Chlamydomonas reinhardtii: one gene and its partner. The main gene of each other region encodes a partner of the protein of the gene in region 2 in a complex. Links are inferred from orthologs where the notes say so. Each region holds a gene or a part of one and is shown on either strand. Other genes may lie near its edges. The genes, in order: CHLRE_12g492300v5 and CHLRE_10g434450v5.

The links.
Region 1: the proteins of CHLRE_10g434450v5 (region 2) and CHLRE_12g492300v5 are in contact, whole or in part, in a cryo-EM structure (PDB 8BEE), measured with the Arabidopsis thaliana proteins. The link is inferred for Chlamydomonas reinhardtii from reciprocal best matches to the Arabidopsis thaliana genes AT2G20360 and AT5G11770. Residues at the interface, in NP_565469.1 of Arabidopsis thaliana: Arg100, Gly101, Ser102, Glu103, Asp104, Arg107, Lys110, Leu111, Lys122, Thr151, Arg152, Asn153, Phe154, Pro330, Phe331, Pro332; in NP_196738.1 of Arabidopsis thaliana: Arg140, Glu148, Arg150, Trp151, Asp176, Arg177, Ile178, Val179, Pro180, Val181, Asp182, Lys205, Arg208, Arg209, His214, Trp215, Trp216, Asn217, Lys218.

What each region holds. Positions count from the first base shown.
Region 1 is NC_057015.1:623,135-626,946, forward strand, and holds CHLRE_12g492300v5 (uncharacterized protein), read right to left. Parts: upstream 2,423-3,812; 5' UTR 2,253-2,422; intron 2,167-2,252; 5' UTR 2,158-2,166; coding exon 1,681-2,157; intron 1,259-1,680; coding exon 1,241-1,258; 3' UTR 729-1,240; downstream 1-728. Other genes in the region: CHLRE_12g492350v5 (uncharacterized protein), read right to left, coding at 1-55, 128-166; CHLRE_12g492250v5 (uncharacterized protein), read right to left, coding at 3,261-3,617. UniProt on the Arabidopsis thaliana protein: Core subunit of the mitochondrial membrane respiratory chain NADH dehydrogenase (Complex I) that is believed to belong to the minimal assembly required for catalysis. Complex I functions in the transfer of electrons from NADH to the respiratory chain.
Region 2 is NC_057013.1:2,276,760-2,281,138, reverse strand, and holds the start of CHLRE_10g434450v5 (uncharacterized protein), read right to left. Parts: upstream 2,972-4,379; 5' UTR 2,864-2,971; coding exon 2,809-2,863; intron 2,660-2,808; coding exon 2,565-2,659; intron 2,470-2,564; coding exon 2,314-2,469; intron 2,163-2,313; coding exon 2,005-2,162; intron 1,592-2,004; coding exon 1,445-1,591; intron 1,234-1,444; coding exon 1,024-1,233; intron 849-1,023; coding exon 728-848; intron 554-727; coding exon 375-553; intron 242-374; coding exon 169-241; 3' UTR 1-168. Other genes in the region: CHLRE_10g434400v5 (uncharacterized protein), read left to right, coding at 3,198-3,266, 3,515-3,768, 3,925-4,310. UniProt on the Arabidopsis thaliana protein: Accessory subunit of the mitochondrial membrane respiratory chain NADH dehydrogenase (Complex I), that is believed not to be involved in catalysis. Complex I functions in the transfer of electrons from NADH to the respiratory chain.

The DNA of each region.
Region 1 (3,812 bases), on a different chromosome or scaffold from region 2:
CAACGGCATTACGAAGCGACGGGGGGAGCGTGACGGGCGTCGCGGGGTCGGAAGCCTGCGCGCAAGGGTGGAGCGATGTTTACTTGTCGAGACCTTTTCACCAGAGATGAACTTAGATCTACCGCACCTTTGGCGCAGCGCTCAGTGTTGCTGATGCAGAGCACATCATAGAACTCCCGCGGGCGCGAGGTGCAGCGCCCGAGCGGAATGCGCCACGACAGCGTCCATTCTCTGCACTCCGCACTCCTTGTTTGGATCCGTGAAGCATTTCGAGTACCCAATATTAGCAAGCGATAGATTCAAGATTGGATTTATGCCAAGAGTGCAAGTAGACGTTTCTGGACTCTTGCTCAACTCGCCCGCGGTCCTGTTACCTCTCTATACATGAATGTGTTATTCTATTGTTTTCCTACGACGGCCGAGCTGGATTGTTGACCAGCTTGCCATTGGCTTGGCTGCATCCGCCCTGTCCCCCGTCAGCCGCTGCCCCTGCCAGCTCCCGCTTCCCTGCGTTTGCCACGGCCGTTGGTATGCTGCAACGGAACAGGAGACCAAACGCAACCGTCATGCTACGACGATATCGGATGGCGCCTTCTCCCCACGCACTCAGCACCGAGCGACAGCAGCCTCCGACCGTGTCCCCATTGGAACCGCACTCAGCATTACCGCTGAAACACAATTCACCAGACCCTGTCCCGACGTCGCATGCATGGCACATCGACGCAGCGTGACCAAGCCATTTACATGCAGACTAGTTCTCATTGACCAGGCCCACTACCGGGCCTACCATGTTCATCACGCCTAACTTCATCTGCACCGATTAGCGCCAAACCGCTGCACCTCATTTCATACCCAAGCATGTGCTTCCACAAAGAAGCCTATAGTATACACTGTCTGCCACCTGTAATAGGTTGCTAAGCTAATGCAATAAGCCTTCTCCACAACAGGAGAGTACACGGCGCCACTGTGCCGCACGCCACAACGCCAAGCTAGTTCCCCCCAGTTATTTCCAAGCCCGCCGTGCACACCCCTAAGCGCCTCCCCGCCTGCCGCTTCCAGCATACAGCTCCTGTGGCCCTGGGACGCTTAAGCTGAGACAGCCGTGCGTAACGAGCAACAGCCGTGCCCCCACTGGTTCCGGCCGAGAGAGCGCCTCCCCAGCGCTGACATCCCTCCAACCGCCGCTTTTCTGCTGCTGCTGCGCCTGCGCGCAGCGGTTCCAAGCTCCTGCGCCAGCTGCTTACTTCTTGTACCAGATCTGCACGGTGGGTACGGGGTTCATGCAGGCCGAGGGAGTGCGGTGGATGTAGGAGGCAGTGGCTTGGGAGCTGCGCAACCTCCCGGGAGGACACGCTGCATGGACAGTCGCTGCATGCGTCCAAACCAAGCGCATCACCATAAAGCCCAATCAGTCCCGCGGACGCGGCATGCCCCGGGCAGCAGCAAGGACGCACCGAGCTCGCCTCCCTGCCCCCCAAACCCCTTGGCACGTGGGCCGTTCAGTAGGGCCGTTCAGTTGGCTGGTGCCGGCCCTAGAACCGCCGCATCCGTTTGTGCAAGCACACACCGCTGGTTGCCTATATTCCATCCATCCACCTCCGCAAATCACTCTGCGCACGCCTACGCTCCGTCTCCCCCTCGCCACGTCCCCCCTCCACGCCCATCCCCTGCCCTGCTCACCTGCGTGGTCTTTGACCGGTAGATCTTCTTCTGCAGCTGCAGGAGGCCGTACAGCAGGCCCTCCGCGGTGGGCGGGCAGCCGGGCACATACACGTCCACGGGCACGACACGGTCGCAGCCGCGCACAACCGCGTAGGAGTAGTGATAGTAGCCGCCACCGTTCGCGCAGCTGCCCATGGACACCACCCACTTGGGCTCAGGCATCTGGTCATACACCTTGCGCAGCGCGGGCGCCATCTTGTTTGTGAGTGTGCCCGCAACAATCATGGCATCGGACTGGCGTGGCGAGGGACGGAAGATAATGCCGTAGCGATCAAGGTCATAGCGTGAAGCGCCAGCATGCATCATCTCCACCGCGCAGCAGGCCAGGCCGAAGGTCATGGGCCAGATGGAGCCCGCACGCGCCCAGTTCACAACGTTGTCCACCTTGCTGACCACAAACTCCAGGCCCTTAGCAGCTGCTGCGGGCTTCGACATGATTGCGACCTGCAGTGAACGGAGACCGCTGTTTGGCTCCTCTGCGACCACGTCGCGAGTGAAAGCACTGTCTCTGCACCGCAAACGCCACTTGCCTGCTAGCAGCTCCTAATGAAAGGTATCGTAAAGTAAGCCGGGGCCAAAGGCTCAAAGCGTAGCGCAAAAAACGAAATTAGCCGGGACGACGTCGAGTTCCACGGCCAAAAAAAGCGAATATATCCCTTCCAATCGGCTGTCTGTGCCTTCTGCAGGGCATCTGATAGTTGCCGGGACGTGGGATGGGCAGTGGCATGCGGGCATAGTGCGGTCCCCCCCACGTTGGCTGCCCGCCGCCCCGTGCCGCGCTGTGACTCACCAGCGCTGGCCTGCTACGCCCCCCACACACCAACCTCTGCACGTAGCCACAACGTTACAGGCTGCACCTCCACGGTCTCAAGCCTTGTCCCTGGCCTCCCCTCATTGACGGACTCATCCCAACGGCATGGAATCCCCCACCAGCCTTAACCTTGTCCCATAGCACACGCAGTGCCTACACCGCAACCCATAGCGCGACCGCCCCAACGGGAGCCACGGCGTGTACCGACTACGGACGAACTGAACAGCTCCCTAAAGACCGCGCAACAGCTCCCTAAAGCCCGCGCAACCGTCACTGCACCGATGTTGGGCGCCGCACCAGCGGTCCCTGCATGGGTCCTCCTCACCTGCAGTTCATCTCCTGCGGCGGCCCAGTCTCTGTGCAGGGCCCGCCTCCGCCTGCTGCTCGATTGCCACTGCAAACAACATCGGCAACGGTCCTCTACCGCTCAGCTATATTGTGTATCACCAATGCATCCGCGCTGCGGAAACATGACCGGCCAGCGCGCTGCGAGTCCACTGCCCACGCACCACGACCCCGGAACATGTGAAGCAAAACTGGGGCTAGGTTCACTGACAACAACGAAAGTGCAAAACGGCGAGCACATACGACCTTCGACGAAACTGCCAGTACCAGTCTGGGCAGCCCTGATGCTGCTCTGTTTAAAACTCCCGACACATCCACAACTCGACCCTAGTACCATGCCCTACAGCTGCACCGCCAACACTGAACCGCCACAAACTGGCGCCTAGCGCCGAGACACCAGCCGGCCTCCTGACGCACCCCGCTGTGCCGCCGCCGCCGACGACGAGGATGACACAGACGCAGCCTGTTGCAACCTAGAGCCAGTGCTGCTGCTCCTGCCAGCATTGACCTCCCCGGCTCCCTCCGCCTCCTCTGCCACGCCTGACGCAGCTGGCCCCGCCGGCCCCGCTGCCGCGGCGATGCGCAGCGGCACGTGGAATGTGTAGAAGTCGGATGCTGCGGTGATGGGCGGCGGCGTCTTGCGGGGACCCCACGCCTCGGCGGCCTCGCGTATAAGCGCCCGGATCTCGTACGACTGCTGCTCCAGCTCCAGGCGGCCCGTGGCGCGAGACTCGCGGTCCTGAGGGTGTTGAGGAGAGGGAGGCACGCCGGCATATTACAGGCTTGAGCCAACTAGCTACAGCAGGCAGATACCGGTACAATGCGTCCACACGTAAACTTGAATCTCGACTGTCCTTCGGCCCAACCCTCGCCTTGGCCCCTCGTCGCCCAATCACCGCCTAACCACAACCAGGGCTTGCCCCCGCCCGTGCTC
Region 2 (4,379 bases):
CCGACGCGACCCGATGAACAAACCACACCTTGTTGTCATGTTGCTATGCTATCTAGGTTCCTAAGCCATGTCTAAGATAAGCTCCGGCCGGCACGCAGTGCCGCCACAAGACCAACAGCACATAACGCTGTGGCGCCTCCAGTGCTGTGCTTGGATGCGTCTGCGCCCTCACTGCTTGATGTTGTAGTACTTCCGGACCGACTCCGGGATGTCCTTGGCCACCGCCGACATATCGCCCCACCTGCAGCAACCATGAACAGGTCCGCGTGGATGAGTCTGTGCCACGTGTCCACTCTGCGAAACTCAAGCTTGTCTCGCCTGCTCCCTCCCCCTTGTCCCTCCCTGTACCCCGCACCCAAGCCGCAACCACCCACCGGTAGCCTCCCACGCGCGCGTGGCGCACGGGCTCAATCGCCAGGCCGTCCGTGACCTTCTGCGGCACGATGCCCAGGTCGGCATAGCCCAGAGCGCCCGCCGGCACCACCTTGTCGCGCAGCATCTCCTCCACGTAGTCTTCCGTCGCCAGAGGGCTGGTCATGGGCAGGCCCGGCAGCTGCGGCAGGCGAGGCGGAGGACAGGAGGCGGCGGGTGGAGATGACCGAGGGGAGCGGAGGGATACAGGGAGCGGAGGGAGGGCAGGCGCACAGAGACAAGGTCAGGCAGGCAGCAGTGTACTGATACAAGCGCACGAATTGGACTTGACCCAACCCGACGGCTGCCCACGCACCATGCGGCGCACAGAGTCGAAGGGCTTGTACATGGCCTTGACGGCCCAGGCGGGCAGATGCACGGTGTCGTCGCGGTAGATGCGCAGCGTCTTGAGGAGCAGGTCGTACACCTCACGCATGCTGCACACGCACCGAGGTGAGCGGACCACAATACGGGTCAGTCGGGTCAGCCTTAAGGCGGCTCATTTGCATAAGGCTACAGCCTTCCTCGCTCCCAAGCCTGAGACCTAGGCGCATCCCGGGCCGGCCGTGCAGGCCGCTGCAGCTGCGCTACCCTCACAGCCCGCCCACTCACGTGAGCACCTCGGGCCCGCCCAAGTAGAGGGTCTTGCCCGCGGTGTCGGGCTTGCGCAGCAACGCCGCCACGGCGTCCGCCACGTCCAGCACGTAGGTGGGCTGGATTTTGTTGGAGCCCGACTCCACCACGGGCGCGAACACCGTCAGCGTGAGCTGGTAGATGAGGTAGTTGTAGAAGTGGTCCTCAATGCCCACGATGTCGCCGGGGCTGGGGAGGGGGAAATGCGGGCGGGCGGACAGCGGTCCGTAAGAGGGTGGGCAACCAGTACGGCATGCGGCGCAAAACGCGACGGAAAGGAGAACACAGGCCGCCGAGACAACACGCCGTGCCCGTGTGTCCCCGGCGCTGACGCAATGTCTCATGCTTTTCATCGCATCCCGCAGACCCGCATATGCAACAGGTAGGCACGCAGGCTCACCGCACGATGGTGGCGTCCGGGAAGGCGTCCAGCACCTCCTTGTCGCCCACCGCCTTGGTGCGCATGCGCAGGGACTTGTGGTTCTCGTCTGCGCCCATGTCGCTGAAGTGGATCAGCCGCTGCACCTGGCCCGTCTCCGCCGCCAGCCTGCAAGCATCAAGCGCACGAGCAACATGAACAGCAGGTGGGGAATAGGTGCCTGGTGCACGGCATGCATCCTGGGGACCGTGGGTCGCGCGCAGTTGCCCTCCCGTGTCAACCGCCCCTGAGCTGCGCGCTCTACACCACGTGCCGCTGCCACTGGAAGCTCGTGACGGGTGCCATTTCGGGAGTATGCATCCCGGCGGTAAAAGAACACTTAACACGCAATGCCTACTGCACTGAACGTCGCGCATGGTAGAACTGCCCTAAAGCTCCCACAGGCTACTATGGCTGCCCCTGACCTGAACCCTCTCATCAGTCTTCACCCCCGTCCGCTCTGTCCGTCTTCCGCTCTCTGTGTTGGACCCGCTGCCTCCCGCGCCTTGCGATTGATGCTCGCTGCGCCCGGCCCTGCTCACTTCGCCAGGCGCTTGGGGAAGTCCACGTGCACGTCCTCAAACGACCAGTTCTTAGTCTGAAGGCGCATGCCCACGCAGTTAATGATAACATTCGAGCGGCTAATAGCACGCTTGATGTCGTCATCGTTGCGAATGTCCAGCTCCGGCAGCAGCACAATCTGCATAGCAGGACCACGGCGTTGGGGGCGGGCTCCATTAACCGTGCCACGCTGCCCCTTGCTGCGGCTTTCTGCCCTTCCCCACCCATTCCTGCACATCCCTCCCCCCCACACACACATGGCCACATGTGTCTCCTCCCACAGCCCGCACCTGGCCCAGGTCGCCCATTTGCTTTAGGTGCATCGCCTCGTTCTCCGTGCTCCGGAAGGGGCACACCACCTGAGAGCCGCGCTTGGCGAGCTCGTTGACGATGTACGAGCCCAGGAATCCGTTTGCACCGAAAACGGTGGCAGTAATGCCGCTTACCTGCGTTGGGGAAAGCAAGGAGGCCAAGGCTCAAGCAATGCCCGCTACTGATTGTGCCCGCAGGCCCCTGCTGCCGCGCCAAAGCCCCTACGCACCGACGAGCGACCTCCAGGGCCAAGCTTATCCGCAGTCATGAGCGTGCTGCTGTAGTCCCGGCTGGACTGAGACGCAGCAGCAGCCCAGCGCAGGCCTGTGCCAGCGAAAGAAGCACAGTATTAGCTTCATATCCATTGCACTGAAAGGCTGCTCAGGCTGCGCTGATGCGTCTGCACGCGTGACTAGCCCCTCGCCAAGACGTGCATTGTCCTCCCAGCGCCTGTAACGGGAATACGCCCACACCTGCAAGGCGGGCCAGCGCCGACCCGGCTGCGTTGCGCCCAAGGATGGGCAGCATTTTCAACCGGGGCTACCCAAGCAAATGGCACTCGCCAGGACCCCCCTGTAATCTGTGCAGCCCAAAATGCCGCAATTGAAATACCGAAAAGAAGCAAGTATGAAGCAGGGGATGCGGCGTGCATGCAAGTGCGGGCTCGGTCGCTCCGTCGCTGGAGCAGGGATGAGCTCGAGTCGTCGATGCTTTCCCCCCTGCGTCAACTGTCGCTGGTAAAAATTTAGCTTCTGACCATACGTTATGAGACTTGATTAATACAGCTTGACCTTGCTTGCGAGTTTGCTTGGAAGAGATGGCCATTTCGTGATAGGCTCTACAGAGCCAAAGTGCCGGAGCCATGGCACCAAAGCCTAAGAAGCCAGAGGCTGCGCCTCCTCCACCGCCGGAGCCATCCCCTGACGACAACGTGAGGGAGCGGGGCATTTTGTCTTTTGTCTCTTAGAGCCGGGACTCCGAGGACGCGCCTTGCCGCGGCCCCTGCCGCGGAAGCCTAATTGACAACATTCAAACTTGGATCGCATATGAATGGCCGTCCTTAGCGGGGTTTCTGGAGACGGTGTCCGCACTCTAGCGCTGCGACACGCCCTTTTCCCTACCCTTAACGAGCCCGCGGCTTCATGAACCGGCAATTCCCGCCTGTCCTCTGCCCCGCAGCTGCCGCAAGACATCAAGGAGCTGACGGAGTGCCCATTTGAGGTCACTTGGAAGCCCGTTGTCTCTATCGTGGACTATGGCGTGGGTGCGGACGCGAAGGGCATCCAGGCCACGCTGAAGCGGAAGGAGCTAGCGCGCTACATTGTCCTGCATGAGGCGGTGCTTCGGTTGGATCCTGCCACGCCTCTGGGGCAGGAGGCTAAGGCCGTCCTAGATGCCCACATAGCAGCTGGCCAGGGGCCGGAAACATGCACGTAAGTTGACTGCTGGTGGGGGAGGGTTTGGCATGCCGCGCCAGTTGGGTCAGAGGTGCAGGTGGGCGCCTTGCTTGGCGGCAAGATACAAGTCTCCCAGCACCCATCCTCCAGCGTAGAACTGGCTCGAGAACATGTGCACAACCTTCCCCGCAGTTTTGGCCCGGAGCTGAGCTCCAAGCTGCTGGCCGACAAGTTTGCTCGCGACCAGCTGGCGGACTGGCGCGTGGAGCTGCACCGCCGCCGCACGCGGCTGCAGGCGGCTCAGGACGACGCCACCGCGGCGGCGGCGGGGCTGACAGCTGCACATGAGGCCGTGAAGGCCGCGGGAGAGGCGCTGGCGGCGTACCACCGCGGCGTAGAGGAGGAGGAGGCGCGGAAGGCGGCGCAGCGCGCCGAGGAGGGCGAGGAGGAGCCGCCGACGCCGCTGGATGACGAGGAGGGCGCGGCGCCGGTAGAGCGGGAGGCGCCGGCGGAGGAGGTGGCGCTGGAGCAGGCGAAGGCAGCCGTGGTAGCGGCGGAGGTACAAGTTAGGGAGACCGGTGAGTATGGGTGGAAAGAGGTAGGCGGGCATGGGGCTGGGGCGCGCAGCTGAGCGGAACAACACTAGT